Linked DNA regions of Neurospora crassa OR74A. The protein of the gene in region 1 purifies or fractionates together with the protein of each later gene. This does not show direct contact. Links are inferred from orthologs where the notes say so. Each region holds a gene or a part of one and is shown in the gene's direction. Other genes may lie near its edges.

Region 1 (4,227 bases):
TGGGTTTCCCGAACAATGGGGTAAACACTGATGCTCCTCATCAAATCGCGGCCAGCTCTCGTTGTGGTGAGGAGAGTAAGAGTTTCTAGGTGTGTCAGGATGTTGCTGCTGTCGGGATCGCGCTGCTTGTCTGGAGGCAATAGCTGAAGATCGGTAAGCATTTCCAATGCCTCATCCTCGGGATAAACTTCGCCGCCCATGATAGGAAGTAAAATGTAGGGTAAGATATTGACGTCATCCTCATCCAAAAACGCCGGGTGCGAAGGAATGTCAAAAGCAGCGTTCTTGATAATGCTCGCCACTCCCTTTCGCCTGATATCGGACTTGTGTTCGGTAAAGACCTTGATCTTGTTGATTGGAATAACATCGTCGTAGTCCTGTCTGTTGACAAAGTAGTGCCGGATCTCTTCATGTTTCGAAAGGTCGGCAAAGACGTAGGAGAGGTAGTCGTAATCGGCGTGCTTGTTGTAAGTCCCGTCGGCGCCCTTGACGAAGAGGTCCATTAGTTGGTTAATGACCCTATCGTCGGACTTGAGCTTCTCTGGAGCGGGCTGTTTCCGGTCTAGAAGACTTTTGAGTCCATCCCACTTGGTCAAGTTTGCCAGCAACATAGCCATAAGATTGGCGTTAACCTCCTCGGGCTCCTATAGGAACGGGATCGAAGCGGTTAGTCCTTGCTGCGCACGCACCGTAGGAGCTCAGAATGGATACACATACGACAAGAAGCCCGAGGAGGATTCCAAGGAAGCGATCATCGGTCGCGACGTATTCCAGCACATCCTTCTCGGCAGTCAAGTTGATCAAGCATGTTAGGGCGTGCTCGGCGATTTTCTGCACATGGTACCGACGTCTTAGCTGAAGCTGCTTGGGCGCAAACAAGACAAGTCTGTTGGGCCTACCGGGTGGTCGCGGATCAAGAACTTGAGATGCTTGATGGGGGTGAGCTCGTCGGTCTTGAAGAGGGCGGGCTGAGACGCTGAGAAGGGCACCAGGTTCTCTGTCGCGAGAAGGCGGATGTTGGCGTTCGGCGAGGCAATGAAGCCCACGAGCTTCAGGCGATTATAGCGATTAGTTGTCTGTCCACTGACATTGACACTGCACTGGTTCTGGCAGAATTACCTCTTCAAGTTCGGTCGGCATGTTATCAATGGTAGCTGGATGTATGGTTGTATTGGACTTGCTATAAGCTCGTAACCGTGGCGAGCGAGGCTATGATGTCGCGACTTCCCTTGCTCTTATTCATGCAGTGGGCCAAGCTGCAAAAACTGTAAACACAGGGAACAAAATTCCAGGAATTTGCAACCGAAGAGGGGCACAGTGACGAAAATGCGGGGCAATAAAATGTTTATCGCTGCTCCGCCGGGCGCGTCCAAGCTAGACGATAAGCGATAAGAGGTATTGTACCGCTTATCATTTTCACCGCCCTGGCATCAGAAAATAAAGTGTGCCCACACAGCAAAGAAGTGACCAACCACAAGCGTAGCGCAAGCCTTTCAAGTGCCCAGACTTCTCCACGGCGGGAACAAATTGTCCAAGGGTCGCCGAAAAAAATATCCCCAATTGCCGTGTGCAGCCAAGTCGACATCGCAAAGAGAGGGGACAACCAGGAGAGCTCCGTATCATCAACTCTTCCCCCGATTGCACAACCCTACCGCCATTCAAGATGCCCAAGACAACAGCGGCGACGTCGAAGAGGCGCCACAACCCCCTCGAGGCCGACCTCGTTTCTACCGGCGTCCTTAAGAACAACTCCGGCAAAAAGAGCAAGAACACTCGCGCCGCCAACGACGAAGATGAGCAAAAGTATGTCGACGCCAAGGCTTCGCGCAACATTTTGGCTATGAGCCGTAGCCTCATCGAGGAGGAGGAGAACCTCCGGACAACACAAAACGCAGCCTCCGGATCTGCTCCTTCGGCGTTCGAGTTCGATCCATCGAGATTCGACCGCAACGATGACGAAGACGACAAGTTTGAGAACGACGAGGCCTGGGGCGAGGAAGAGGAGGAGGAGGTAGAGGAAATCGAAGTCGACGCCACCGATCTCGAGACATTCAACCAGTTTATCACACCCACAATGAACGAGGACCCGCTCCTAACACACGGATGGGATGGAAAGCCAGAAGGGGCAGAAGAGCAGGGTCAGAGCGTGAACCTGGCGGACCTTATTCTTGCCAAGATCGCAGAGAAGGAAGCCGGCGGCCCCCAAGGCGGGTACCGCGACGAGCCTGGCCCAATTGATGAGGATTACGAGATCCCCCCAAAGGTGATGGAAGTGTTTGAGAAGTAGGCTGGCCGTTATTTCTGTTACCCTCTTGGCAGACTACTGACAGACTCCTTCTCGCAGAATTGGCATGATTCTTTCTCGCTACAAATCTGGGCCGCTTCCCAAGCCTTTCAAGGTCCTTCCTCAGATCCCCCACTGGGAGGACATCTTGCCCATTACACAACCCGAGTCCTGGACTCCCAATGCCTGGTATGGTTGCTTCTTCCTGTTTTCGGGAGCCAGAGAAACGCTGCTGACATTTGCGATTGTTAGCTACGCGGCCACCAGGATATTTGCGTCCGCCAAGGAGGCTGTTCTTCAACGGTTTATGGAGATGGTGATCTTAGAACGCGTCCGCGAGGACATTCACGAGACCAAGAAGCTCAATGTCCATCTTTTCAACTCCCTAAAAAAGGCCCTCTACAAGCCTGGTGGTTTCTTCAAAGGTGTGTTATTTACTGCCTACGCTTAGTCAGGTTTGCTCAAAAGGGACAACCCAGCTAACCGTTGGCAGGCTTCTTGTTTCCTTTGGCGGCTTCCGGAACGTGCTCGCTGCGTGAGGCGCAGATCGTAGCCGGTGTTTTGACCCGGGTCACCATTCCGGCTGTTCATTCCGGTATGGCCATTAAGGGCTTGTGCGAAATTTCTTCTGCGCAGGCTTCTCAGCGCCTCGACTGCGTTAGCGCTACGAATTTCCTCCTCAAGACTCTGATTGAGAAACGTCACGCCTTGCGTAAGTCCAATTCCTAGCGTGCCAATGATTGTATTCTCTGACTTTGTAATACAGCCTTCCAAGCGCTCGATGCCCTCGTCTTCCACTTTCTTCGGTATCCCGCTTTCGCCACCGGCGGGCATATGGCACCCAACGCTTTACCAGTCATCTTCCATCAGTGCATGCTCTCATTTGCACAGAGATACAAGACGAACAGTGAGTTTGCTTCTTCCGTCGCTGTTTCACTATGCGTCCCTATTATTTTTGAGTACTAACCGCGGTCTTTGTGTAGTTACTGAGGACCAGCGAGAGGCTCTCCTGGATCTTCTCCTAACTCACGGCCATGACAAGATTTCGCCCGAGATCAGGCGAGAACTTCTCGCAGGTCGCGGAGGTGGTGTCCCTGTCGCGCAACCCGGATTTGATGGCGATGACACGATGCTGGACGCTTGAAGAAACATCGGTGATCCGGTAATGACTTATAGACGATGAACCCTTGGTATGCAACGAGGACATGTGGCTCATTTTTACCTGGTACGCGCATAGAGATGGGAGTCGTGTTGTTTAGTGACCTTGGTGGCTTGGGGCAGTCCTTAGACATTGACCCCTTTGATAATACTATGTCACGCCTCGACAGTGGCTACTACTCATCACGCCGCTTGAAGAGGAAGTGGTCATGCCAAGTCAGTCACCATGTACTACCCTTTGTATCTTAGTGGTGCTGACCAACCAGCAACATAATTGTTGACGACCTGTAATGCTTTAGTGCACGAAATTATAAATTCAAGATACCCGGTACAGCAACAGGAATTGTCGAGGAGCCTTGGAATAATCATTTTCAGTTATGTGAAGGAAGCTGCCTTTTGACTTCTTTGTTGCGTCAATCTGGCTTGGAATGCCCTTCTCCCATTTTTCCAAGTCCAAGGCAACCGCGATCCTCTGCCACGTTGTCGGAATCCTGAGAGAACAGTGTAAAGGGAAAGAAGGCAATGTAGCTCTCGCCTACTTCGATATCTCGTGTATCTGATGGCATCATCCCGTATTAGGTGCTTTTACCATACGAGTTTCTAGTGTTCTCTTCCTAACACCCGGTCAACCCGAACATTCTAAGCACTCCGCCCCTCTCGTTTCCCTATTTATTCTTGAGATTGCTTTCTTACCCCGAGACACCAAGTTCTACTCAGTATTTCCGCAAGATCAGGATTTTCGGCGCTGCTTTCTGGCGTTTCGCCTAAGAATCCCGACACCACCT
Region 2 (3,701 bases), on another chromosome or scaffold:
GAGGGCGTGGTATACCCGCGACTCGAGCAGCTGGACTTCGACGAGGACGAGCTTGTCGTCCATGCGCTTCAGCTCACGGAGGAGACCGTTGATGAGCGTCAGGGCATCGTAGTAGGACTGCTTGGCCATGTACAAGGCGACAAGACGGGTTTCGAGGTTCTGGCGGAGGAAAGAGCGGCGCTCTGATGTGGCCCATTCTATACACGACTTGGTGACGGAAATCTGGATGTCGAGAGAGTCGGGGATGGCTTCGAAGAGGTCGAGGAGCTGGCGGACTGCATGTATCAACCAGTGTTAGTATCCTCATGAGCTTGTATAGCGCGTCAACAAAGCTGATGGCGGGGTCGTACCAAGCTTTGCCGTCTTTGCCTTTGCGAACGAGGAGAGAACTGTGCGGCTCTGGGTTACGAGGTCTACAAGGCCTTGTGAGTTCCTGTACACGGTGATGGGAGGTTAGTGACCGTACCCCTCCTCGATGACCACGACATACACCAGCCACTCTTACTTCTCGTCGCGATAGAGCTCTCCCAAGTGAATCAAAGCCGTCTCGTATTCCCGGATGGCCGCGTCAGAGGTGACTGATGGCGGCTTGGAGATGATATCCTTGTAAATCTGCTCGGCCTGGCGGGGGTCGGTCGAGACCACCTTCTGCGCCTCGCGCACTCTCTCTGATGCTTCGCCCTGGGCCATGGTGTCGTGTGCTGGTTGTCCCGGTCGCCAAGTGGTAAGCGGTAGTAGTATAAATCGAGAGTTTGGCTATCGGATTGGATGTGATGGTGATTACTCGAGGTCGCGGGGGGATATGCGGCGTGTCGGTGGTCGCAGAGTGTCGGCTTGGAAGTTGTGGTTGTTGTGGTGTTGAAGTTGGAGCTCAGGTTGTTCTGTCGTGACGAACCTCACCACCCGTCCTCTGCTGGAGCACAGCTGTTACCCAAGTCAAGTGCAGGCGGCATGTCCACTAACGAGACCTCTGTACACTACGTACCACCGCTAGGTAGCCAGGCGCGACGTAATTAGCTGGAGACATCCACCTACAGATCCCTGTCAATTCACGGCAGGCAAGCCCAGCTCTCGGTAGCTCAGGCCCTGTCCATCCTTTTGGCAGCGAAGCTCTAACATTCCAAGCCTAAGCGTTTAGCAAACTGCCAAGAAGGCGGTCAAGATTCTTGCCGCCAGACCCCGCCAAAATTTCTCCAGAGGAAGGGGAACGGGAGCTGTCAAACTGCCCGTGTCCGACTGTGCTCCCCAATTGGCGACAGACGCTCCCGGCATCCATCCATCCATCCATTCATTAATTCCAACGTCGATAACTGTATCACAGCACCTGTGCTTTGCGACAAGGTGTACCGACAGACTTCAGCCATACCCGGCCTCATCATATACAATTATTCACACTCGATATCCGTCGGCCTTGGTAGCCTTCTCATCCACGACCCCTTCAACATCATCAACAGAGAAACACCGTCACCATGAAGGTACTTGGGCCTACCACACGCGACGCCCATCAAGATTCGCAAACCCACTTCTAGGCTCACCACTGACACTTCTACAACAGATCAAAGCCCTCAGCCGAAACATCTCGGCCCAGCAGGCCCCCGGTAACGACGTCACCCGCGCACCCCGTAACCTTGCGCCCGAACTCCATCCCTTCGAGCGCGCTCGCGAGTACAAGAGAGCCCTCAATGCCGTCAAGTTGGAGAGAGTCTTCGCCAAGCCCTTCCTCGGCCAGCTAGGAAATGGCCACGTTCAGGGTGTCTACAGCATGGCCAAGGACAAGAACTCGCTACACACAATCGCTTCCGGTTCGGGTGACGGTATCGTCAAGGTCTGGGATCTCACAACACGGGATGAAGCATGGAAGGCTGCCGCCCACAACAATATCGTCAAGGGAATGACCTTCACCAACGACAAGAAGCTTCTCACATGTGCCACCGACGGCATCAAGCTTTGGGACCCTTACACCAAGACCGACTCCCCAACGCCACTCGCGACATGGCAGGAAGGTGGTCCATACACGGCTCTCTCGTTCCACCGCAACACCAACTCCTTCGTTGCCTCTTCGGGCGCCGGCTGCATTCGTATTTGGGATCTCGAGCACAGCACGGCTCCTCAGACGATACAGTGGCCGAACCACAGCGACACCATCACCGATGTTTGCTTCAACCAGGTTGAGACCTCGATCGTGGGTTCCGTCGGCACAGATCGCTCCGTTATTCTGTTCGATTTGCGCACCAACATGCCCGTCATCAAGACTGTTCTCAAGTTCGCCGCCAACCGCATTGTCTTCAACCCCATGGAGGCGATGAACATGGCTGTTGCCTCAGAAGATCACAACGTCTACCTCTTCGACGCCAGGAACTTCACCAAGGCGCAGAATATCCAAAAGGGCCACGTTGCGGCGGTTATGGACGTCGAGTTCTCTCCTACCGGCGAGGAGCTCGTGACTGGTTCCTATGACCGCACAATCAGGGTGTGGCGCCGTGACCAGGGCATGTCTCGCGATGTGTACCACACCAAGCGTATGCAGAGGGTGTTCCGGACTACCTGGACTATGGATTCCAAGTACCTTCTCAGCGGTAGTGACGATGTACGTTGTCTCCTTTCTTTTCTCCAACTGTTCGATCAGCACAGCTAACGTGATATACAGGGTAACGTCCGTTTGTGGCGTGCCAATGCCTCGGAACGCAGCGGCGTCAAGGCGACCAAGCAGAGACAGGCGCTCGAGTACAACAAGACCTTGGTCGAGAGGTATTCTCACATGCCCGAGATCAAGCGCATCTCCCGTCACAGGCACCTGCCTAAGGTGGTCAAGAAGGCGGCCGAGATCAAGCGCGAGGAGCTTGCGGCCATCAAGAGAAGGGAGGAGAACGAGAGGAAACACTCCGTCAAGCAGTTCGAGAAGCGCAAGGCAGAGAGAGAGAAGGCTATCCTGGCCAAGCTGGAGTAATTGCGGTGTTCTTGGCTTTTGTGTGCCATGGTTTGTGCGGTCTCTCGCGCTTCACGCTATGCGTTTACTATTTTCTTTTGCATTGGGCGGCGTTTCTTAGTGGGAAAATTGTCAGGCTATTTGTTGATGAGACTTTCAGGCAGCGGAGTCTCGCTCGGTCTATACGGAGTTCGATACCACATATTCGATAGTATTTTGTTTCTGTGTTCGTCTCTATGTGCAAAGCAAAGCGACCATGTCTTCCCATCTCTTCCAAAACACCTACACCACTCCTTCAGGCGCCCTGTGGACTCCGGCCTCGCTGCTTGACTCTCTTTGCATGGTCACTTTTTTTTCCTCGATTCCTCCTTTCCGGTTGATCAAGGTTCACCTGATTTCCCACAAGTCAGACGGTCGATTTCGTGGACCTGACCAGTACCCAGAAACTGGCGTCAACATCGTGCAGCATTGGCATGAACCTCATGGCCTGGATAAGAAGAACGAACGACATGGAATCGGACGGTCACGGCGTGGGTTGGGATAGTTGGAGGGAAGGATACGGGTCGTTTGTGGCTCATCCGTGGCCATTGATGTGGGCTACCCTAGATCTAGCGCGGCCTGCGTTATTGGATCAAGTAGATGGCTCTCCTGTCTCGATCTGGCTCGAAGACCGGTTGGCAAACAGCAGTCGGAGTGTGGCTCAGCCATCAACACAACCAAACTAGTTGTAGTTGTGCCCTTAGAAAATGGGAGCCCACCTCCGGGCTTTGGGTAT
Region 3 (4,195 bases), about 1.3 Mb from region 1:
CTTGGTCTTGGCGATCTCCTCATCGGTAGCGGTGTCCTTGAGGGTAACCTGACATAGTGAACAGCTGAGGTCAATAAGAGTCTTATGGGTAGTGTGAGGCGCGAGTGCGGCATGCTTACAATGTAAGAAGGCATCTTTGCGGTGGTGGGAGGGTTGTTTGGTGAAAAAGTTGGTGTTGCTGTATGGAAATGTTGAAACAGAGTGTAGTGGTTGGTCGTGAACTTGGAAAGTCGGTACTGCGTCTCGAGGAGCGGACGAAGGAGCATCTTATACGTGATCAAGGGACATGCACAAGTGGACTCGAACTACCTACACCACAGATGCACATGTGCCAGATAAGCGGCAATCATGCTAGATTGGTCTTCCTGCCACGCCGTCAGGAGCCACAAGTGACGCGGCACCAGGGACATTAGCATTCTCTGGAGCGGATGATACGTCATATCCACTTGGACCAGACTTGCTGCGCCTACCGCAGGTCGTTTTGTGACTTGTGACACTCTTTTGGCTGCCAGGCGTGGGGATGACAGAGACAATCCTTCATCTCAGCGCCCAACAAGACAGCCTTGCACACAACCACCTAACGAGCGCTTAGGCGCGGGCTGAGACACTAGGAGTGGTGTGGGAGGATGGATCCAGTCATCTTCCGACCATCTTGCTACTCAGGATCTTGGATGTTGTTACCTATCTGTTGTAACTCTGAGCCTAGCCTATACGCCATACCCTCCTCATGTGTGTAAATCGGAAACCCTCCTTCCCGCGACAATTACGTATGTAACCCTCAAAATGGTGTGTTATGCAAGAAGGGCTGCCATGGCCCATGGCTGTTTGACTTTGCGGGCCCATTCGACGTTCCTATGTCGAGGCCGCAAGTTATCAACTATGATAGCTCTTTCATGGTCTCGACTCTTCTTCAACCGTTTGTTGGGAGGTCCCTGAACAATCCAATGCATTTACATAGCGTGGTATGTAGTCTCCACCAGTGAGGGAGGGCTTGGTACAATAGAGGTAGTTAGGTTGGTCATGCTCAAGACAGCACAAGATATCTCAACCACCCAACGGAATATCTTCGTATAAACCTTTGGAAATAGTTACTCCGAAGACACAGCTCACCCAGTAGTTGGTTGAAGATAAGAAACGGGACTATACGTTGGGTTCGTCTGTTGTTCAAGGTTCCAAGACTTGAAGGTCGGGACTGCCTGTCAGGGTCTCCAACTCCCCGCATGCTGCCACTGCTTAGTAGCGGGTGCTGCCGGGGATAGGTCCCGTCGCCTGCCGCGGAAAGAGGTCCCACTATTCAGGTATCTTATCGCTTATCGATAAACGTCTTGGCGTTCCATCAGAAAACCGACTATCCAAAAAATTTGGACAGCAGCTTTTTGGCAGCAGTTGAATTGGGAGCGAGTCCCGTCGCATTTCCACTTGCACCTGTTTTCGCGACCGCGTGTCCATCTATACTACTGAACTTGCAAAAAGTTCACGGACACCAGCCGTAATCATGGCCGACGTCCAAGCCCACAAACCCCATCGGGCTTCCAAGAAGTCCAAGGAGAAGGGGGCCTCCAAGCATACAGGTGGTATGTGTATTCAATTGTTTCTTTTATCGTTACTATCCACAGCTGACCGTCCCTGCAGAAAAGAACCCCAAGGCCTTTGCCTTCTCCAATCCTGGTAAACTCGCCAGACAAGCCGCCAGATCCCACGATGTAAGAAGACATTCCCTCGCTCCATCCTTCAATGACTTCTTATAATTAACTGGTCTTGTTCCGCAGATCAAAGAGAAGCGTCTTCATGTCCCCGCCGTCGACCGTCTCCCCGATGAACCACCCCCAAGACTCGTCGCCATCGTAGGCCCCCCTGGCGTAGGAAAGACCACCCTTCTCAAGTCTTTCATCCGACGATATGCAAAGGAAACCATCCAAGATCCGGTGGGACCTATCACGGTCGTCACCTCCAAGAAGCAGAGATTGACCTTCATCGAATGCGCCAACGAACTCGAGGCCATGGTCGATATTGCAAAGGTCGCCGACATTGTCCTTCTCATGATCGATGGAAACTTCGGCTTCGAAATGGAGACTATGGAGTTCCTTAACGTTCTTGCCGCCACGGGTATGCCCGGCAACGTCTTTGGCATCCTCACCCATCTCGACCTGTTCAGGAAGCCCCAAGCACTAAAGGAGGCAAAGAAGAGGTTAAAGCACAGACTTTGGAGCGAACTCTACCAGGGTGCCCACCTTTTCTACCTTTCCGGTGTCCTGAACGGCCGTTACCCCGATCGCGAAATCCACAACCTCTCCCGCTTCTTGTCCGTCATGAAGAACCCCCGCCCGCTCGTTTGGCGCAACTCCCACCCTTACACCATCATCGACAACTACCGCGATGTCACCCACCCCACCCAGATTGAAGAAGACGAGAAATGCGACCGAACGATTGAACTCTCCGGTTACCTCCGTGGTACAAACTTTTCCGCCGAGGGCCAAAGGGTACATATTGCTGGTTTGGGCGACTTTACAATCAAAGAGATGGAACAATTGCCGGATCCTTGCCCGACTCCCGCTATGGAACAAGCGCTGGCCAAGGCCAGTGGCAAGACTGGCAGAAGGCGACTCGACGAGAAGGACAAAAAGCTCTGGGCGCCCATGGCGGACCGCAGCGGCTTGAAAATTACTGGCGATCACATCGTTATCACTAGGGAGAACGGCTTCACATTTGACAAGGATGCTGTGGGCATTGAGCGCGGCGAAGGAGAACAGCTCATCATCGACCTGCAGAACGAGAGGCGTCTCCTTGGTCAAACGGACGAGGGTGTCAAGCTGTTCGCGAGCGGACAAAAGATCAACCAGCTCCCTGTCGAGGACGAGGATGTCGGAAACACTGGCCGCAAGAGCCGAAGAACCGCCAGACTTGCCGATGGTGAGAGTGGTGAACCGCCAGAGGACGAAGGCTTCGAAAGCGGAGAGGAAGATGAGATGGAGGATGGATCCGATGTCGAGTCCGAGTTCAACGAGATGAAGCTGGGCAAGATGTTCAGGAAACAGACCGACGACGACCAAGAAGAGGACATCGCCTTTGCCGACAGTGACTCCGACCTTGGTTCGATATCCGGCGATGAAGACCAAGGATCCGACTTTGACGATGACGAGGACGACGAGGAGGATCCTGAGCTCAAGTGGAAGGACAACATAATGGAGCGCGCAAGTCAGATACACGGAAGGAGGAAACCCTTCCGCGCTGTCGACTTGGCGAGGTACATGTACGACGAGTCGATGGCCCCCACAGAAGCCATCAAGAAATGGGCCGGTCAAGACGACGAGGAGGAGATCGAAGAGAATATCGAAGAGGACGACGAAACCTTCTTCCGGAGGACTGGCAAGGAGGACAAGGAGGACTCTTGGGAGGATCGCATGATTCCCAAGTTCGACTACGAACAACTAGAAGCCAAGTGGTCTGACAAGGACGCTGTCGAGGCTCTCCGAAACAAGTTCGCCACCGCCAACCTACTTGACGACGCTGAGGGCGAGGGCGAAGATGGTTCGGATTTCGAGGGTCTTGATGACGAGGACGACGATGATGAAGGTGACGGTGCCTTTGAGGATCTCGAGACAGGGGAGAAGCACGGCGCTGACGACGAGGATGAAGAAGAAGAAGAGGAGGAAGGAGAGGAGCAGCCAGCAGAAAGCCTTGAAGCCGAGCGTGAGAAGAACGCCCGCCGAAAGGAGGAGCTCAAGCTTCGCTTCGAAGAGGAAGATCGTGAAGGTTTCAAGAACGACAAGGCGATTGCCAGGCGAGAAGGTGGCAATGATGACGAGTTTGGAGAGGACGACTGGTATGATGCTCAAAAGGCCATGATCCAGAAGCAGCTCGACATCAACAAGGCGGAATACGAGAACCTTGATGAAAGCCAAAGGATCGCTGTCGAAGGCTACAAGGCCGGCAAGTACGCCAGGATGGTCATCGAGGGTGTCCCAGCAGAGTTCGTCAAGAACTTTAAGCCACGGATGCCGATCGTTGTCGGAGGTCTTTCGGCCACGGAGGACAGATTCGGCTTTGTGCAAGTTAGAATCAAGAAGCACCGTTGGCACAAGAAGATTCTCAAGACGGGAGATCCCCTCATCTTCTCCCTCGGCTGGCGCCGATTCCAGTCTCTTCCCATCTACTCCATCTCTGATTCTCGGACGAGAAACAGGATGCTGAAGTA
Region 4 (4,253 bases), on another chromosome or scaffold:
CCCTCCTTGCTACCGTATCCGGGCTTTCCGCTGGCTCGTCCTTTTCCAGCTCCACCGTGATGTCCGGCTTCGTCTGATTTTCCCTCTCGTAGCCCGGTGATACAATCGTGCCGGGATACACAATGTGCACCTTGACCGGGTTATCTGGGTAGTAATTGACCTCCATCGCCAGGGTATCCGCCAGTCCTCTCAGCGCCCATTTGGTTGGGGTGTACGGGCCATAGCCCAAAATCGCAAAAAGCGCCAACATTGACGCGGTAAATACCAAGTGCTTCGGCTCTCCGTTGGGTCCCGTGCTGTTTTCGGGTGCCAGCCACTCCCTCAAAATCGCCCGCGACATCTCCGCCGACCCAAAGTAGTTGACGTCCATGTTGCGGCGTGCGGCCGCCATGCTGCCATCGTCGGTCCACAGCAGAGGCGTCGACATGCCGGCCACGCACCAGACGATGTCCGGGGAGCGCCCGCCATTCCAGGCGATAGCTTCGGCGAGGACCGCGGCGGCGTAGTCGTGCTCGGAAACGTCGGCTGAGATGTAAGTGAAGCGTTGTGTGGACGGGTTCTTGGCGGCGGCGCGGACGTCGACGAGGGCTTCTTCAAGGCGCCCGACGTTGCGCGAGACGAGGATGACATTGGCGCCCTTTTGCGAAAGTTGGATGGCCGCTGAGCGGCCCATGCCTTCGGAGGCGCCGGTTAGGAGGACGGTCTGGTAACAGGGGTTGAGTTAGTGTTGTTTGGAGGTCGGGTCAGGTCGGGTGAGGCTTCGGGGCGCATACCCGGCCCTCGACTGGCATGTGGTTTTTGGAGCTGAAGAGACCCATTGTAGCAAATATGCCAATGGCCGCGACGACGGCTGCAACTGGGAGAGACCAGGAGGTGCTGAGGGTTTTCAATTGTTCCATCAGCGACTCTGAGAAGAGATAATGGTTCATCCTTCCTTGGATCGTGAAAGAAGATCGGGCTCGAGGAAAGTGGAATTGTTGACGCGGCGGCGCCTAAGCTATTCTGTATACGTCTAGAGTACGAACGAGTACCTCTACGGCGTAAATTTAGTGGATGCTGTCAGCAGTTCCCGTCGTACTGGAGCTTACACCCCTGTCTGTAAGTGACTTGTTGATGGGTGATGATTCGACCGATTTCTTCGCACTCCGTAGGAAAATGAGGTTTCTGGAACCATTTGCTGGAGTTTGCGTTTTCGAGTCTTCAGAAGCGGTTTTCTCTACTGTCATAACTGAACCCATTGAGGTCATGTCAACGTAAATCTGGCAGGCCTGGGGGGCATCTTGGAGCTTCCCGTCGACCCTGAGGACGGGATGGAAGCTTTGACCATTTCAGATGTAACTGTGGAGCATCTTCAATTGTGGGGTTAGGCAGCCTGCATGAGAGTGGAGCTGGGCGGTCGAGGTTCCGCTGAGAATGGATCGCAAATTGACAAGAGCAAAAAAATTCTGCCGCTTCAACATTTGTTGCCCGCCTAGCGAACGAACCCACCAGCCCATTCAACGAGCATCTCCAAGTGCCTTTTGGCAGCGTCTTCACGTCAACGTTTCTCAGTCGCGCCAAACTCCATCCAACACGCCTGAATAGATAACCGCGACACAAACGCAAAAATGGCGAAGAAGAGAAAAGCCCCGAGACCGACCGGTCCCGCCGAGCCTCGCGAGGTCGATGCCAAGGACGCCCGCCTTACCGTTAAGACTTACAAAGATGTCGCCAACTCCGAAGACGAATACTGGGAGAACCAGGATCGCATCGACTTTGACGACAGCGATGATGGCAGACAATCCAAGCGCAGGCGCCAAGACAAGGAGGAGGAGTTCCTAGAGGCTTCTGACGAGGAGGTTTTCGAGGAGGACGAATCCGATGAGGAGAGCGAACACGAAGACGCCGCGCCCGCGAAGGGCAAGAAGGTCAAGACAACAGTACTTTCCGACGAAGAGATGGGTGGTGAAGAGGAGGAAGAAGGTGACGAAGGATGGTGGGGTTCCTCCAGAAAGGACTACTACAATGCCGACCAGATCGAGACCGAGGCCGATGCCTTGGAGGAAGAGGCTGAGGCAAAGAGGCTCCAGGCCAAGAAGTTGGCCAAAATGTCCGAGGCCGATTTCGCGTTTGACGAGAGCGAATGGCTAGGAACCAAGGAGGAGGCCGAGGGAGAGGAGGATGTCATTACCGAGAAACTCAACGAGATCGAAGTCACAGAGGACATGGGGCCGGAAGAAAGATACAAGCTTCTACAGAGCCGATATCCCGAGTTTGACTACCTGGCGCAGGAGTTTAGGGAGCTGCAGCCGATTCTCACAACTCTTCAAAAAGAGGCCGAGGGCAAGCCTGCCAAGTCTCTGGAGATGGTCAAGTTCTGGACTCTTGGGTGTTACATCGCTTCACTCGCCAGTTATTTCGCTATCCTGACTTCGCCAGCAAGAGACAGCCAAGGTGTGTCCAAGACGATCAGCCCTACGGAACTCAGGGACCACGAGGTTATGGGCACGTTAATGAGCTGTCGCGAGGCCTGGCTTAAGGTCAAGGAACTCAAGCCGCTCAAGAGCGTCTCCTCGACCAGCGGCATGCTTTCGCCACCCGAAGATGAGGGCGAGTATGATGACCTGTCTGACGACGATATGGAGGACTTCAAGAAGATGCTCAAGAAGAGCAAGCGCGAATCCAAGGCTGAGCTCAAGGCCAAGGCGAAGAAGGAGGCCGAGAAGGCCAAGAAGGCCAGGGCTGTCGAGCAGTCTCTTGCCGATCTCTCCAGTTTGCTTGAAACCACCAAGACGGCAACCAAGGCCAGCAAGAAGTCTGTCAAGGTCGACAAGCGCGATGACGATGAGCGCTCCGACTTTGGTGACGAGGAGATCCTTGAAGCTCACGTGGCCAAGGAGAAGGCTGCTCGCAAGAAGAGTCTCAAATTCTACACCTCCCAGATTGTGTCCAAGTCCGCCAAGCGTGCGGATGCGGGTCGCAACGCCGGTGGTGATGACGATCTTCCCTACCGTGAGAGATTTGTAAGTCGGCCATTGCCTAAAAAACATGCCGTGTTGTCATATACTGACTTTTGCGCAGAGAGACAGGCAAGCACGGCTCAACGCCGAGGCCGAGAAGCGCGGCAAGAAAGACAGCAAGCACGGCGCCGTGCTGGGCGAGGGCGACAGCGACGACGAGGACAAGGCCGTTGCCAAGCAGGTGCGCGGAGAGGAGGACGAGTACTACGACATGGTGGCGCACAACGCGGCCAAGAAGAAGGAGGACAAGGCGGCCAAGTACGAGGCTTTGGCGGCTGCCAAGGGCGCCCGGGTCGTGGAGGAGACGACGATCGGCCCCGACGGCAAGCGCCAAATCAACTACCAGATCCAGAAGAACAAGGGCCTCACGCCGCATCGCAAGAAGGAGAACCGCAACCCGCGTGTCAAGAAGAGGATGAAGTACGCGGAGAAGCAGAAGAAGCTCAAGAGCGTCAAGGCCGTGTACAAGGGCGGCGAGGGCAAGGGCGGGTACCAGGGAGAACTGTCGGGTATCAAGACCGGCTTGGTCAAGAGTATCAAGCTTTCTTGATAGGGCTCTGGTTGTCGTGGTTGTTGGACTGGTTTGTAGTACTCTGGGTATATCATGCATGTATAGATTTTTGGGTTGTTGATAATCATGGCCTCAACGGAAATGGAAAAAAGCAGGCTTGCACACACAATGGCATTGTATTTCTTGAACACACTTGATACCTCTTCAAGATCTACAATATCTACAATGTCCAGTATTCTCAACACCGGAGGTCGCCGGTACTCGCACCCTGTTCAATCGTGTTAGTACAGGTTCATGGTAAACCCCGGGTCTGAGAATAGGGCTATATAAGAATCCCTCTCATTTTTTTTCTTTTTCTTTTCCATCCCAATTTTTAGTTCCTCTTCGTTTCTGTGCCCTTCCCTGGCATTTCTTGTGTGCCAGATTCCGAAAGAGCGAAGGCGATGTTGACTTGGAAAGGATACAAGGCCTGCGAGGGAGCCAATAGGAGCTCTGAGACGAATCAATGCAAATGCCCAAATCTCAACTTTGGATAAATGTAACACCACCACATGATAAATTATTAGATTGGGCAGTTTCTGAACAAACACAACATCCTAAACCGAACACTTCAATTTCGTTATCTTCAGTACAGGTATCTTCAACACGGATCGTTCAAGAAGTAGAGGTAATTTTTGGGATGAAACACTGGAATGTTAGAGCAATGATTAGGACATGCCACATTATTTTTTTCCAGTCCACCA
Region 5 (4,166 bases), on another chromosome or scaffold:
CGATATCGATGATGCCGTCCTTCGTTACCGCCTTGACCGTCATGCCCTTGAAGTCTATGGGTAACCTCCTCTTGAGCTCGTCGGTGCACAGGTTGAGAAGCTTGATACCCTGGTGGAGGGTGATGTCTGGGTGGTGGTGCTTGTCGAGAATCGAGAGGCAGTAGTATCTGATGAGGAAAGAACCGGTCAGTGATTCTGTACATGACTCCTACGCATCAAAGACGGTACAGAGATATCGGTCGAGATCACATACTGTGCGTAGCCGTGGGCGGCATAGGGGACCTTCGCCAACGACGCAAGGTAGTCGAGCCAGTAGAGGCTGGGCTTGTGGGTGATAGGGTCGACACCTCCGAGAAGGAGGTTTACGTTGTAGGGTTTGCGGGAGCGCAAGCTCGTCGCAAGCTCGCCGCGGACAAAGTTGGCAAGGGCAGAAGGGGAAAGGTCGGTCCCGTTGCGCATGGAGTAGAGCTGGGCGTTGGCTTGGGTGTACTCGGCGAACTGCACTGTCGATGGGAACAAACAGTTGGTTAACTTGGTTTGGTTCAAAAGCGCCATCATCACGATATCGCTGCCGTACCTGTGTCGCCAGCTTCACCGGAGAATGCCATCAGTGTGTGCTTGTTCAGCGACCTTGTCTTGTCGTCGGATGCCTTCAGGATGGTCGCTCCCCGCATAGCGGCCTTGGACGCCGCAATGATGGTAAAGTCCTTGCCCGTGATGCCTAGTAAAACCTCCCTACATGCTGATCAGCTCTGATATCACCTCTCCAAGACATGACCGATGCGACGTACATTTTGGCTGATTGTTATGTGAGTGAATGGATGATATGCTGTTGTTTTGGTAAGCTTTGGCAAGTTGCGTTGGCTTGCACGGTTCTCGTCGTTACCTACCTATGGCGGGACAGGGCAGTTGGAGCTTGAACTGACGGCGACGGGGAACGCGCACTGGAGCTTCAGCCTGCAAGCTGACAAGACAAGCACGGGCCAGGCTGTTCAGGTGCCCGCTATCGTCTTCCATCTTTCCATTCCAGTCCCCAGAAGGGCTGAAAGCTGCAACCACTGGGCAGGCAAGCAGACAGCGAGAGAGACAGCCCCACTCCGTCATGAAACCTGCCAGGATGGCCCGGGGACGTCTTTTGGAGACAGCAAGAGCCTCCCCACCAGCCGACTACTAACAGCTCGCTAGCTCGGTTCCGCGTGACAGAGCCCCTATATCTGTTAGTGACGCAATAAGGTAGAGTGCACGGCACGGGGATTCCCTTCTCCGACTCGTTCAATTGTGCCAAGCCAGTGGAGGAGATCTTGACGAATCGGCGTGCTACTCCACCGATAGAAAGCCTGCAGGGTGGGCAACTTTTTTTTTTCTTCGAAGTCCATCGGGTCGGGTGTGTCTAGGCGCGAACGGCCATCCCAAAAATTTCAACTTTGATAGCCATGCAGCAGCGTTGAAGTGAAGCCGAACGCGACCCCAATTCACATTCCAGTGTCATTCTCTACCACCAGACGACTCCAGTGCATTTGCACCGACCGCCCCGGGCCGCAATTGCCAACACCATGTCGTCCTTTTTCACAGCACCCGCTGGGGAAAAGAAGAGGAAGCGTGCCTCTGCCAACGAAGCCCCCCAGAAGCGAGTTGCGACTGGCAAATCGACTGCCAAGTCATCGTCGGTCAGAGGCCCTGCCGCCAAATCACGTCCCGCAGCCCCCAAGAAAGCCGTTGAGCGCGACGAGTCGATATCCGGCAGCGACATTGACAGTGACGATGGCGACCACATTGAGAGAGAGGACGGGTCGGAAGGAGAAGAGGAGTCGGACCACGAAGGAGAGACGGCGGCTGAGAAGCGGTTAAGATTGGCACAGCGATATCTGGACAAGGCACGACAAGAGGTGGAACTGGAGGACGAGTATGCCTTTGACGCCGAGCAGATTGACCGTGATTTGCTGGCCGAGCGTCTTCAGGAGGATGTGGCCGAGGCCAAGGGCAAGGTTTACCGCCAGTTGGCTTCCAAGCTCGACTTTGACAAGGCCGCACACACACAGTTTCGATGGAATTCAGGAACGGTAACATCAGTCTCGGTTTGCGCGCCGTACGCTTACACCACCACGAAAGACGGCTACCTTACCAAGTGGAAGCTACAAGACCTACCCAAGAACCAGTGGCCACAGACGACCAAGAAGAAGCCAAAGAAGCCGCCTGCGCCGCCCAAGAAGAAACCCGAGAGAGTGTGCTTCAACAGGGCGAACCCGATCAAGGCAAAGGACAAGACATACCAGGGACACACCAACGCGGCCATCCTGACGGTCAGGGCCTCTGCCGACGGCAAGTTTGTTGTCACCGGCGGCGCCGACAAGCGAATGGTCGTCCATGACGCCGAGACCCTCAAGCCCCTCCGGGCCTTCACCCAGCACCGCGACGCCGTTACCTCGCTCGCCTTCCGCCGCGGCACTAACCAAATATTTTCTGCCTCCAAGGACCGGACAGTAAAAGTCTGGTCGCTCGACGAGCTCGCCTACGTTGAAACACTCTTCGGCCACCAGGATGAGATCCCCGACATCGACGCTCTGGCCGGCGAGCGCTGCGTGTCCGTTGGCGCGCGCGACCGGACCGCCCGCTACTGGAAGGTTCCCGAGGAGTCGCAGCTCGTGTTCCGCGGCGGCGTGTCGGAGAAGAAATCCCATAAGAACCGGGACCAGGCGGTGAACCACGATGGCACCATGGACCAGGTGGCCATGATCGACGACGAGCTCTTTGTGACTGGCGACTCGGCCGGCACGCTCTCGCTGTGGGGCATCAACCGCAAGAAGGCGCTGTTCACGCAGCCGTGTGCGCACGGCATCGACCCGCCGCTCAAGCCGACCGAGGTGTCTGCCGACGCGAATCCGGACGAGAGCGTGGTGCCCACCCCGCAGCCCCGCGCCATCACCGCCCTCCGCACCATCCCGTACTCGGACGTCATTCTCTCGGGCTCCTGGGACGGCTTCGTGCGCGTGTGGCGCCTGAGCGAGGACAAGAAGAAGATTTTGCCTGTTGGCGTGCTCGGTTCCAGCACGGCGCTGCAGCAGCTTGACCAGGCCGAGGCCCAGAAGCAGAAGGAGGAAGCAAAGCAGAAGGCAAAGGCGGAGAAGGAACCTGCAACCGCAAGCAGTGGGGAGGAGCAAGCGGACGACGAGGCCTCGGTGGATGGGTCGCAAGACAAGAAGAAGAAGCAAGAGAGCGGGCTGATTAGGGGTATCATCAATGACATTGCCATCTTCGAGCGCGGCAACCGCGGTCGCGACGGCATCTGCATCGTGGTCGCCACAGGCAAGGAGATGAGGCTGGGAAGGTGGAAGTACATGAAGGAAGGAAGAAACGGCGCTACTATCTTCGAGGTGCCCAAGGTTGCTAGGCGAGCGGGGGCTAAGGGGGAGGAGAGCGATGAGGAGGAAGAAGAGGAGGAATAGAGGAAGAAGATGGGAACCATACGTACGTTTGTTCTGTCTTGTTTTGTCTACCTCGTTTGACGGAGCGGGACATGGGAGAAACGCGGAGAATGAGGAAGAAGAGAGCCAAATAATCATCGCCTGTTGAAATTTGTTACAAAGTGCTCTGGACGTTATATCGCATTCGCGACAGCCAAGCTGTTCATAGACAAAGGAGAAGGAGAAAGTAGAAAGAGCAAGTATTGTACATACCACACTATATCTTTTAGGTAGCCTCACTGCATTTGAAGGGAGTTGAAAAGTTTCTGGTCATGAATCCATTCCACTAGATTTCCGATTAAGTTGTGCCACACAGAGCCATTAAAATACTATGGAATCTCTCACCAATATATCATCAAAGGGATGGTAAACTTCTTGTAATGTGCTCTCCGTGGAAAAAAATATCAACAGAGGATTGGTAGTTTGTTAGATCACGCTGCGCTACTTCTTCCTCCAGCACAAGGTTGAGGCTCCATCATCTAGCTCGAGACTGAGATGGCCACCCGACTCAAAGGTACTCCTCGAGGCCTAGCTGGACGTCAATACCGCCAAATATTCCGCCTGCATGATAAGATGTACAAGACTTGGGGAGTTCGAGAGTTTCAACTCCAAAACAATCAAGCAACGAGCTTCAAAAAAGACAACGCAGCCATGCTATACCAGCCATCGAGGCCTCAAGACCATGCAATGCAAATGGGCAGATGC
Region 6 (4,159 bases), on another chromosome or scaffold:
GCTTTTGTTCGGTATGTTCCAAGCTGTCGGGACGCCAGTCGCAGAGGTTTTGTCCCACGGGGTGGGGAATGTTGATCGCTTTTGCAAACGACTGTCTGTGTGATTATGGTACAGAGCCCTGTCGTACGCAGAATGTACACTACACCGAGCTGTCAATCCCGCCATGGTTGAACGATGCGCCTTGCTTGTGTTTTGGTCCCTTCGTCTGATCTTTTGAAAGAGGGCTCCTGCATTCCGTCTGTCGTATAGTCTCCATAGTGAAACATCACAATGATGCAGTTGTGAACGGGGAAGAAGCGGGACATTGGTCACAGAATGTGTACTGCGTAGTGTTCTAAAGTAGTCAGAGAAGGCACCTGACTTGATCAAAGTGCCGTTCAATTCTCTTCGAAGCTGATATCGGATGGGTTATGGATGTCGTATTTGTCGCAATTGCTGTTGTAACGTATACCAGTCAGATTTAGTATTAATTTTGGGACCGGGAGCCAACCAAGCTAATATGATACAGCACAGACTCTCAATAGTACTGCGTACAGCAAGAGAACGAACTGAAAGCAGGCAGGCACTTTGGCACTGGATTGGCTATTGGGCCCCGTCCAGTTTCTGCCTAACAAAACGCTGAGCCTTCATTCCGACCTCTTCCACATTCACAGGGCGTAATATGGGAGGCGCGGTGTATCATGCCTTCCCTCGTAAATAGAGGTATGTAGAGGTAGAGGTACGGTGCGGTCCTGCCCGCATCATCAAGTATAAGCCTTTCGGTTACCTTACCTTACCGCAGCACGTTTGCCTTGCCCACGCAATGTCCACTGCAGTGCCGCCTGCATCCTATCCTGCCGTCGTAAGGTGTTGCCGGCGTCTTGCCTTGCCTGTTGGGGAACTGCAAATCAGCAGATTTTGTTTGTTTGAAAAGCAAGCCTGCATTCGGAGATCTTTGGATGACAGTTGGACATTGCCAGAGAAAAGGGCGCGCCCAGAAGCCACATGAAACTCCGCCCTCCAATGCCCTGGGCTGGCAGGCCTGGGACGCCTGGCCCTTGCCTGAGGTGGCTCGCTGTCCGACGGTGCAGTGAGAGAGCTCCAGTCATTTTTTGCCATCTCGCTCACCTTGGCACTGTGTCCGGCTTATTGCTTGGCCCGCACTGTGACACTGTGGATGGCGGCGGTGGATCACGGCTCCTCCACTTCCCGTCAGTTCGCCAGCTGGATGCCGCCAAGAACCAAGCCAAAAGAGCGCGCGCTGGCTGGGCCTGGTCGATCTGGCGAGCCTGGCTGGCACTTGGCGTTGCCGTCTCAAATCCTGCCAGTCCCCAGTCCCCCAGGTCGGTCGGCTGTCCAGAAGTCCCAGTCGGTCCCAGTCACCAAACTGCCTCCTCCTCCCTTCTCGCTGTCTCGTTTCCCTCTTCACATCGTCCTTTCCCTCGCCCCCCGTCTCACCACCGACGACCTAAAATTTCCCGGCGGCGACGACGACGGTAAGAGAACCTACCCCAACCACCAAAACAATCTCTTGTTTTTTTTCTTCCCCCGCATGCTGCACCATACATCAACACCAAGCCCGCGTCCATCAGCTTGCCGCTGCACGCTTCGTCTCGACTGCATTTTAACACATACCCGTACAGATTGAGCTGCATTTCATCGCCCCCGACGCTCCAACATCACTTAAGCAGCCTTCTTCGGCACGCACGCCCCTCTCGATTATTCATTGCCATCCTGGTCTCGACGACCCTTGAGCACAGCATTCGGTCTGCGACGACCGTTTACAAAAGGAGAACACATCCCGCCGAAGAGTGAGTTAAAACTTCCATCATCATTTCCGTCAGACGGGTTGTCGTTCCCAGCGAGCGAGGGAGGTTGCTGCACGCATTGTGGTGGTTCCACTCAGCTGCCGCCATGTATCGGTGAGCTGATTGTTGGCCCGTCCGCCAACCAATCTGCCCGCGCTGGCCGCATTTGCCCGCTGTTTGCCCGGATGCACACCGTCGCCATCGGTCACGACACCGACTTGATAGGCTTTTCAATAGCCTCGACACCCTTCTTGGCATGATGGTGGGAATGGCATCACTACAATGCTCCCCAAGGATGGCAGCGTCGCCCAGGCCATCGTTGAACACGTCCGTGTCGACATAGCCCTGATGGACAGTGTTGTCACGCCGTCCAGACGCTCCGTCTTCCAGGGCGATGCACGATGTGGATGTGTTTGCAGAGGTTTCTGGAAATGTTGCCGTCACCATTGACACATGGGCCACTTCATGGAGCAGTCGAACAACCTATTGTGACCGAGCCGGGCAAGGACTCCCACCCGAACACCTGGGACGACACTGGCCTTTCTCGACAGCTCAGCGTTCGACATCGTTGCGTATGCGTACCTTGATGGCCCTTTTACTGACATCTATCGGCTATAGTTACTGATCTTCTGGGATTCGTCTTTCTCCCCTATTAACCGCAAACATGACTACCATGGTACGCTTATCCGTCAATTCCGAATCACCACGGCCTCCTAGGCCTTTGGTTGCCAACGTCAAAGGTTGCATCCTGCTAACTGGAAGGCTAGGATCTCCGCGTCGGTAACAAGTACCGGATCGGTCGCAAGATCGGCTCTGGTTCTTTCGGTGACATTTACCTCGGCACCAACATCATCTCCGGTGAAGAGATTGCCATCAAGCTGGAGAGCGTGAAGGCCAAACACCCTCAACTAGAGTACGAGGCCCGCGTTTACAAGTCTCTCGCCGGTGGCGTTGGTATCCCCTTTGTCCGCTGGTTCGGCACTGAGTGTGACTACAACGCCATGGTCCTCGACCTTCTTGGCCCCAGCTTGGAGGATCTGTTCAACTTCTGCAACCGCAAGTTCTCTCTGAAGACTGTCTTGCTGCTTGCTGATCAGCTCATCTCCCGCATCGAGTACATCCATGCCAAGTCGTTCATCCACCGCGACATCAAGCCTGACAACTTCCTTATGGGGATTGGCAAGCGTGGCAACCAGGTCAACGTGATCGATTTTGGTCTTGCCAAGAAGTACAGAGATCCCAAGACTCACTTCCACATTCCTTACAGAGAGAATAAGAACCTTACTGGCACTGCCCGTTATGCCTCCATCAACACGCATCTCGGCGTCGAGCAGTCTCGCCGTGACGACATGGAGTCCCTTGGCTACGTCATGCTTTACTTTTGCCGCGGCTCCCTCCCGTGGCAGGGCCTTAAGGCTGCCACCAAGAAGCAGAAGTACGACCGCATCATGGAGAAGAAGATGACCACTCCTACCGAGGTTCTTTGCCGCGGCTTCCCCAACGAGTTTGCCATCTACCTCAACTACACTCGTTCCCTCCGCTTCGATGACAAGCCTGATTACAGCTATCTCCGCAAGATCTTCCGTGACTTGTTCGTCCGCGAAGGTTTCCAGTATGACTACGTCTTTGACTGGACCGTCTACAAGTACCAGAAGAACGCCCAGGCTATCCAGCAGGCTGCTGGCAACTCCAGCCAGCCCCAGCCTGCGGACTCCAAGGAGGCGGCCCAGGCTGCTGCTCGTAAGGACCCTCAGCAGGCCCTGAGGAGCGGATCCAGGAAGCCCATGACCGGCGAGACACCTGAGACCAGCCGTGCCGTCGGTGGCAGCGACAGGATGTGAGTTTGCCAGCCTAGCCCAGCATTCCTAGTAAGGAATCTTGTTTCCTTCGAGTTTGGTGTACTCAATAACGCTGGCCGGAGGTAGAATGCTGACATGATGGCTGACGTTCAGTTTGCGATAATAGGCTGCGCTCGGCTGCTAAAGGTCAAGGCGCTGGCTCCGGACATGTGGCCGGCAGGTATCGTCCTATGGAATGAGACTGCGGTTGCTCGCACATGGTATCTACTTGGAACAAGATCTTCGGCGGGTTGTTGGAGTAGCAGATTGCGCATTGGTCAAATGGTTTGATTCCTGCACCCGCCTTTCGTCATCCAACGTCCCTCGAGCGTCTGGATGGAGTGGAAGCGGATGGCTGTACCTGGCCAGCACCATCGACCGATGCATCTCCTCTACACAGCCAGACGGATTACTTGCGACAGATTGCTTCTCTTCGTTCTTCGGCATCTCTATCAGTTACTGCCCTTATTCATGGCTCGGACGGATCTTCGGTTTATGGCGGCAGTGCAGTTCGACTCTTGGTCGAATCTGTCT
Region 7 (3,886 bases), on another chromosome or scaffold:
ACGTAGCGGTTGGCTCCCGACTGCCCTTTTCGGGACGATAAAACAGACGGGAGTCATCGGTGAATGTTTGACACGGCCGAATATCTTACCTGCCAGATACAGGTATAAAACATCCCGAGTCCCTTCCTCACATCATTCTAAACCCTTGTATTGTCCCCCTTTCGGCCCATTCGCCGTCCAATACTCACCCAAAAACAGTCACAAAAAGCCACTCACCACCACTCCATCACTACCATTAAAAATGGGCAAAGTTCACGGTTCCCTTGCTCGTGCCGGTAAGTTGCAGTTTTTGATGCCATTTCGCCACACCTTCATCACCAAAACTCACACCCATCTTCAGGCAAGGTCAAGTCTCAGACTCCCAAGGTTGAGCCCCAGGAAAAGCCCAAGACTCCCAAGGGCCGTGCTCACAAGCGCGAAATCTACACTCGCCGTTTCGTGAACGTTGTCACCGGTCCTGGCGGCAAGCGCAAGGTAGGAGGGCTCACTCACGCTTTGCTTCCAGGTCGCAGTTGTGCTGACATATCATCGAATCCAGATGAACGCCAACCCCTCTGCTTGAAGGGCTTATCTTTTGGAATGTTGCTCATTCGCAAATAAGCAAGCAAGCATCTCATGGCGTCTCTAGGCGTTTACTGATTCTACCTACGAGGGAAATGGTCATGGCCATGGGCATATCGGGAACGCAGGAGCATGTGTTGGACTTGGGTACTCAGTTCATCCTCTACTATAGGCTAGGTTTCCGGTGCAAAGGCGTTTTGATGGAATCTGATGATGCCCCCTTCTTCCAGCTAGGTACAATAGGAAAATCGATTTGCCCTTTGGGCACTTATTCAGAAAACGGCTCTCTTCTTGATCATATCAGCGTGTGATCCCTGGAAGAGGAACGTGCAATACCAGGTCGTTCTGTGTGAGTTGGATGCCTCTATGAGTCTATGGAGACCGACAGACTGGAGGCACATGTCGCAACTAAGAGACGAACACCTCCACTGAACCATCTGATGATGCGACAAGGTAATGTGCATTTGCAAATGGATGTTGATATCGGGTGTTCACTGGGAATCTGTAGCGACAGTGAGGAACTCCGCAACAACTATCGACAAAATTGAAAGATTTGTTGACACGAGTCCGATACTGAAATCTCCACGCGTTGGTAATGACAAGAGTGAGAACCCCGATGGCCTACAGAGGGAGGGATGGACTTCAATGATCGCAGTGGGGCTTCAATTTGCCCATGACGGGTTGAAACTGCCCCGGCATTCAAGGTTCACGATTGCAAGTTCGCGGCGGGACTGACGGTGCGACGGCCAGCCCTGTAGGTAGCTACAGCAAGCAGTTGGGCTGAGAAGCAGACAGCCTGGTCCGTGCACACTCATTGTCCATGCCAAGCCTGACAGCTGTAACCCCAAATCTACCCCACCTTTCGGCTGCCAGGCGGGACAAAACCCGCGGATAGCCAATGAGGTGGGCGTTAGGGTTGGTGCCAAAGGCGGAGCGCACCAGCAAAATCCAGAAATCGCAGCGAAAAGCTGCGACCCCCACCAGGCGCCCGAGAAAAACGTCGAGTATCTGCACTCCTCAACCAGTCCACGACGACGACCAGCAACAGACCCTCCGTCTCCGATACCCTACCGGCAAACCGACATAATGGCTGATCGTGGAACTTCTGGCCCCCGTGGCGGCGGCTTCGCTTCCCGTGGCGATCGTGGTGGTGACCGCGGCCGTGGCCGTGGTGGACGTGGCCGTGGCCGTCGCGGCGGCAAGTCCGAGGAGAAGGAGTGGCAGCCCGTCACCAAGCTTGGCCGTCTCGTGAAGGCCGGCAAGATCAAGAGCATGGAGGAGATCTACCTCCACTCTCTCCCCATCAAGGAGTACCAGATCGTCGACTTCTTCCTCCCCAAGCTCAAGGATGAGGTCATGAAGGTGCGCAGCAACGAATTCTTTGATGCCCGGAGGATGAGGTTGAGGAGGGGGAGGAGCGAGAATCGCAGGATTCGCGACGACATTGGGGGGAACTGTGCTTGAAACCCCACGAAACTGCATGCTGATATTGTTGTTTTCTCCCTCTGCAGATCAAGCCCGTCCAGAAGCAGACCCGTGCCGGTCAGCGTACCCGCTTCAAGGCCATCGTCATCATCGGTGACTCCGAGGGCCACGTCGGTCTCGGTATCAAGACCTCCAAGGAAGTCGCTACTGCTATCCGCGCTGCCATCATCATCGCCAAGCTCAGCGTCATCCCCGTCCGTCGCGGTTACTGGGGCGCCAACCTCGGTCTCCCCCACTCCCTCCCCGTCAAGGAGTCTGGCAAGTGCGGTTCCGTCACCGTCCGCGTAAGTTATACCCAGAATTTGACCCGAGAAGCTGGAACTGGCGCTGACTGCGATCCTCATAGCTTATCCCCGCTCCCCGTGGTACCTCCCTCGTTGCCTCCCCCGCCGTCAAGCGTCTTCTCCAGCTCGCCGGTATCGAGGATGCTTACACCTCCTCTTCCGGCTCTACCAAGACCCTTGAGAACACTCTCAAGGCTACTTTCGCCGCTGTTTCCAACACCTATGGCTTCCTTACCCCCAACTTGTGGAAGGAGACCAAGTTGACCCGCTCTCCTCTTGAGGAGTTCGCCGACACCCTCCGTGAGGGCAAGCGTTACGCCAACTAAGCGACTGGTTGAAAGTTGTTTTCAGCTAGCGAGGATGGAAGGATTCTTTCGGGCGTCTGTGGTTATTTGATTGCATGGGCTCCGGGAATGGAATAGATGAAGGCTGTTGTCCCAAATACCTAGTGCGATCGGCCTGAGTCCCAAAATTGATGAAATGACCAACAACGACAAAGCCCCCATTCGAATAGCGAATCAACGTGAATGTTATGGATGGTAGCGTTGTGGGACAATGTGTTCCATGCGGTCAAGGGTCGTCGCTGCTCATACTACGGACAGCTGTTTATTTGGTTTGCGAGCTTAACATGCTGTATGGTTCGCGGTTGCTAACAGCTCAGCAGACACGGTTCACACAGAAATCACGTACAAGAGACCAAGCTTGGAGTGGTAGGTAGCCTTCCACTTAAGTTGCTTTCTATACTGGAAATGGCCTGTCCGAGAGGCAGCGCGGTAGGAAGGGACTCGTGACTTGACCTTGAGATACCATCTAGGTAGTCACTCGTGACTGTTCCTCGAGGGGTCGGTTGGTCTTGCCCCTTTCCCATGATGGCGGTTGTGCAGGAGTTGACTGGGAAAGAGCAATCGCTTCTCCGGCTTGACAAAAGAGCATCATCTTTCTCAATCCCCAATTGATGTTTTTTTTTCTACTCTTCTCCATGTTCTCTTCCATCACCAATACTCTGCTAGGCCGAGCACCGTTCGTTTCCCTCTTTTTTTTTTTGGACCACGGGTTTTGGACTTGTGAGTTTTGGAACCGCTTTGGCCTTCTGCCCTTGGAAGTGTATCAACTACCTACACAACTGGCCTCTTTTCCTTTTTCTTTCTTTCGGGTAGACACAGTCGTTTTCTGGCTACCATGCCGTCCGCTGGTCGTTACCTGCTACCCCTACTCCTTCTTCCCATCAGCCTCGCTTCCAACCATGTCTCGGACAGCAAGGAGACAGGAACAACCCCGGCCCTTCGACATGTCCACCGCCAGGTAGAAAATGGTGAGCCTCAGGAGCCCAAGTCAGACGAATTGGGTGCCCCTGGCCTGATAATCGATCCTGATATTTTGTCTTTAGTGCTCAATCCTCCAGCCCAAACTACTCTTTTGGTTACAACAAGTACTGGTAGTGCCGCAACCCCACTCGAATCGAACTCGGCGGTCATCGGGGGTCTCATCTCGTTGCTCAACACCATCTTGGGTTCACTGACGACCAGTCTTTCTAACATCGGTACGACAATGGTCAG

The links.
Region 2: the proteins of NCU08323 (region 1) and NCU01595 purify together in Saccharomyces cerevisiae (affinity purification with mass spectrometry; 7 studies listed by BioGRID, with this or other methods). This does not show direct contact. The link is inferred for Neurospora crassa OR74A from reciprocal best matches to the Saccharomyces cerevisiae genes ENP1 and SOF1.
Region 3: the proteins of NCU08323 (region 1) and NCU04348 purify together in Saccharomyces cerevisiae (affinity purification with mass spectrometry; 7 studies listed by BioGRID, with this or other methods). This does not show direct contact. The link is inferred for Neurospora crassa OR74A from reciprocal best matches to the Saccharomyces cerevisiae genes ENP1 and BMS1.
Region 4: the proteins of NCU08323 (region 1) and NCU00301 purify together in Saccharomyces cerevisiae (affinity purification with mass spectrometry, with the first as the bait; 3 studies listed by BioGRID). This does not show direct contact. The link is inferred for Neurospora crassa OR74A from reciprocal best matches to the Saccharomyces cerevisiae genes ENP1 and SAS10.
Region 5: the proteins of NCU08323 (region 1) and NCU01367 purify together in Saccharomyces cerevisiae (affinity purification with mass spectrometry, with the first as the bait; 3 studies listed by BioGRID). This does not show direct contact. The link is inferred for Neurospora crassa OR74A from reciprocal best matches to the Saccharomyces cerevisiae genes ENP1 and RRP9.
Region 6: the proteins of NCU08323 (region 1) and ck-1a purify together in Saccharomyces cerevisiae (affinity purification with mass spectrometry; 8 studies listed by BioGRID, with this or other methods). This does not show direct contact. The link is inferred for Neurospora crassa OR74A from reciprocal best matches to the Saccharomyces cerevisiae genes ENP1 and HRR25.
Region 7: the proteins of NCU08323 (region 1) and NCU06047 purify together in Saccharomyces cerevisiae (affinity purification with mass spectrometry; 4 studies listed by BioGRID). This does not show direct contact. The link is inferred for Neurospora crassa OR74A from reciprocal best matches to the Saccharomyces cerevisiae genes ENP1 and RPS2.

What each region holds. Positions count from the first base shown.
Region 1 is NC_026504.1:2,401,673-2,405,899, forward strand, and holds NCU08323 (bystin), read left to right. Parts: upstream 1-1,499; 5' UTR 1,500-1,663; coding exon 1,664-2,283; intron 2,284-2,344; coding exon 2,345-2,473; intron 2,474-2,536; coding exon 2,537-2,709; intron 2,710-2,777; coding exon 2,778-2,996; intron 2,997-3,050; coding exon 3,051-3,191; intron 3,192-3,267; coding exon 3,268-3,428; 3' UTR 3,429-3,727; downstream 3,728-4,227. Other genes in the region: NCU08324 (DNA-binding protein HGH1), read right to left, coding at 1-644, 718-831, 900-1,049, 1,120-1,140; NCU16789 (hypothetical protein), read left to right, coding at 3,871-3,946. UniProt on the Saccharomyces cerevisiae protein: Required for normal export of the pre-40S particles from the nucleus to the cytoplasm.
Region 2 is NC_026502.1:2,998,055-3,001,755, forward strand, and holds NCU01595 (SOF1), read left to right. Parts: upstream 1-1,212; 5' UTR 1,213-1,469; coding exon 1,470-1,475; intron 1,476-1,555; coding exon 1,556-2,587; intron 2,588-2,647; coding exon 2,648-2,947; 3' UTR 2,948-3,201; downstream 3,202-3,701. Other genes in the region: rpn-6 (26S proteasome non-ATPase regulatory subunit 11), read right to left, coding at 1-275, 351-433, 506-690. UniProt on the Saccharomyces cerevisiae protein: Required for ribosomal RNA processing.
Region 3 is NC_026504.1:3,692,578-3,696,772, forward strand, and holds the start of NCU04348 (ribosome biogenesis protein), read left to right. Parts: upstream 1-1,395; 5' UTR 1,396-1,495; coding exon 1,496-1,574; intron 1,575-1,632; coding exon 1,633-1,703; intron 1,704-1,769; coding exon 1,770-4,195. Other genes in the region: NCU16822 (hypothetical protein), read right to left, coding at 1-48, 120-266. UniProt on the Saccharomyces cerevisiae protein: GTPase required for synthesis of 40S ribosomal subunits and for processing the 35S pre-rRNA at sites A0, A1, and A2.
Region 4 is NC_026503.1:3,362,661-3,366,913, reverse strand, and holds NCU00301 (Sas10/Utp3 family protein), read left to right. Parts: upstream 1-1,458; 5' UTR 1,459-1,607; coding exon 1,608-3,002; intron 3,003-3,060; coding exon 3,061-3,549; 3' UTR 3,550-3,753; downstream 3,754-4,253. Other genes in the region: NCU00302 (3-ketodihydrosphingosine reductase tsc-10), read right to left, coding at 1-703, 774-929. UniProt on the Saccharomyces cerevisiae protein: Primarily required at the G2/M phase. Essential for viability: involved in nucleolar processing of pre-18S ribosomal RNA as part of the ribosomal small subunit (SSU) processome.
Region 5 is NC_026505.1:3,791,120-3,795,285, reverse strand, and holds NCU01367 (rRNA processing protein RRP9), read left to right. Parts: upstream 1-1,366; 5' UTR 1,367-1,553; coding exon 1,554-3,443; 3' UTR 3,444-3,759; downstream 3,760-4,166. Other genes in the region: pcb-4 (proteasome component C11, variant), read right to left, coding at 1-167, 254-503, 578-735, 792-793. UniProt on the Saccharomyces cerevisiae protein: Involved in nucleolar processing of pre-18S ribosomal RNA. Required for efficient pre-rRNA cleavage at sites A0, A1 and A2, and biosynthesis of 18S rRNA.
Region 6 is NC_026501.1:7,561,987-7,566,145, forward strand, and holds the start of ck-1a (casein kinase I), read left to right. Parts: upstream 1-1,359; 5' UTR 1,360-1,475; intron 1,476-1,622; 5' UTR 1,623-1,790; intron 1,791-2,405; 5' UTR 2,406-2,451; coding exon 2,452-2,463; intron 2,464-2,554; coding exon 2,555-3,624; coding exon of another isoform or gene 3,625-3,628; exon of another isoform or gene 3,629-3,739; coding exon of another isoform or gene 3,740-3,749; exon of another isoform or gene 3,750-3,752; coding exon 3,753-3,825; 3' UTR 3,826-4,159. UniProt on the Saccharomyces cerevisiae protein: Protein kinase which phosphorylates serine and threonine residues. Can use casein as a substrate. Phosphorylates elongator complex member ELP1/IKI3 on 'Ser-1198' and 'Ser-1202' which promotes the tRNA modification function of the complex.
Region 7 is NC_026507.1:1,982,840-1,986,725, forward strand, and holds NCU06047 (40S ribosomal protein S2), read left to right. Parts: upstream 1-1,484; 5' UTR 1,485-1,647; coding exon 1,648-1,923; intron 1,924-2,072; coding exon 2,073-2,330; intron 2,331-2,392; coding exon 2,393-2,656; 3' UTR 2,657-3,386; downstream 3,387-3,886. Other genes in the region: NCU06048 (40S ribosomal protein S30), read left to right, coding at 242-275, 341-474, 539-562. UniProt on the Saccharomyces cerevisiae protein: Component of the ribosome, a large ribonucleoprotein complex responsible for the synthesis of proteins in the cell.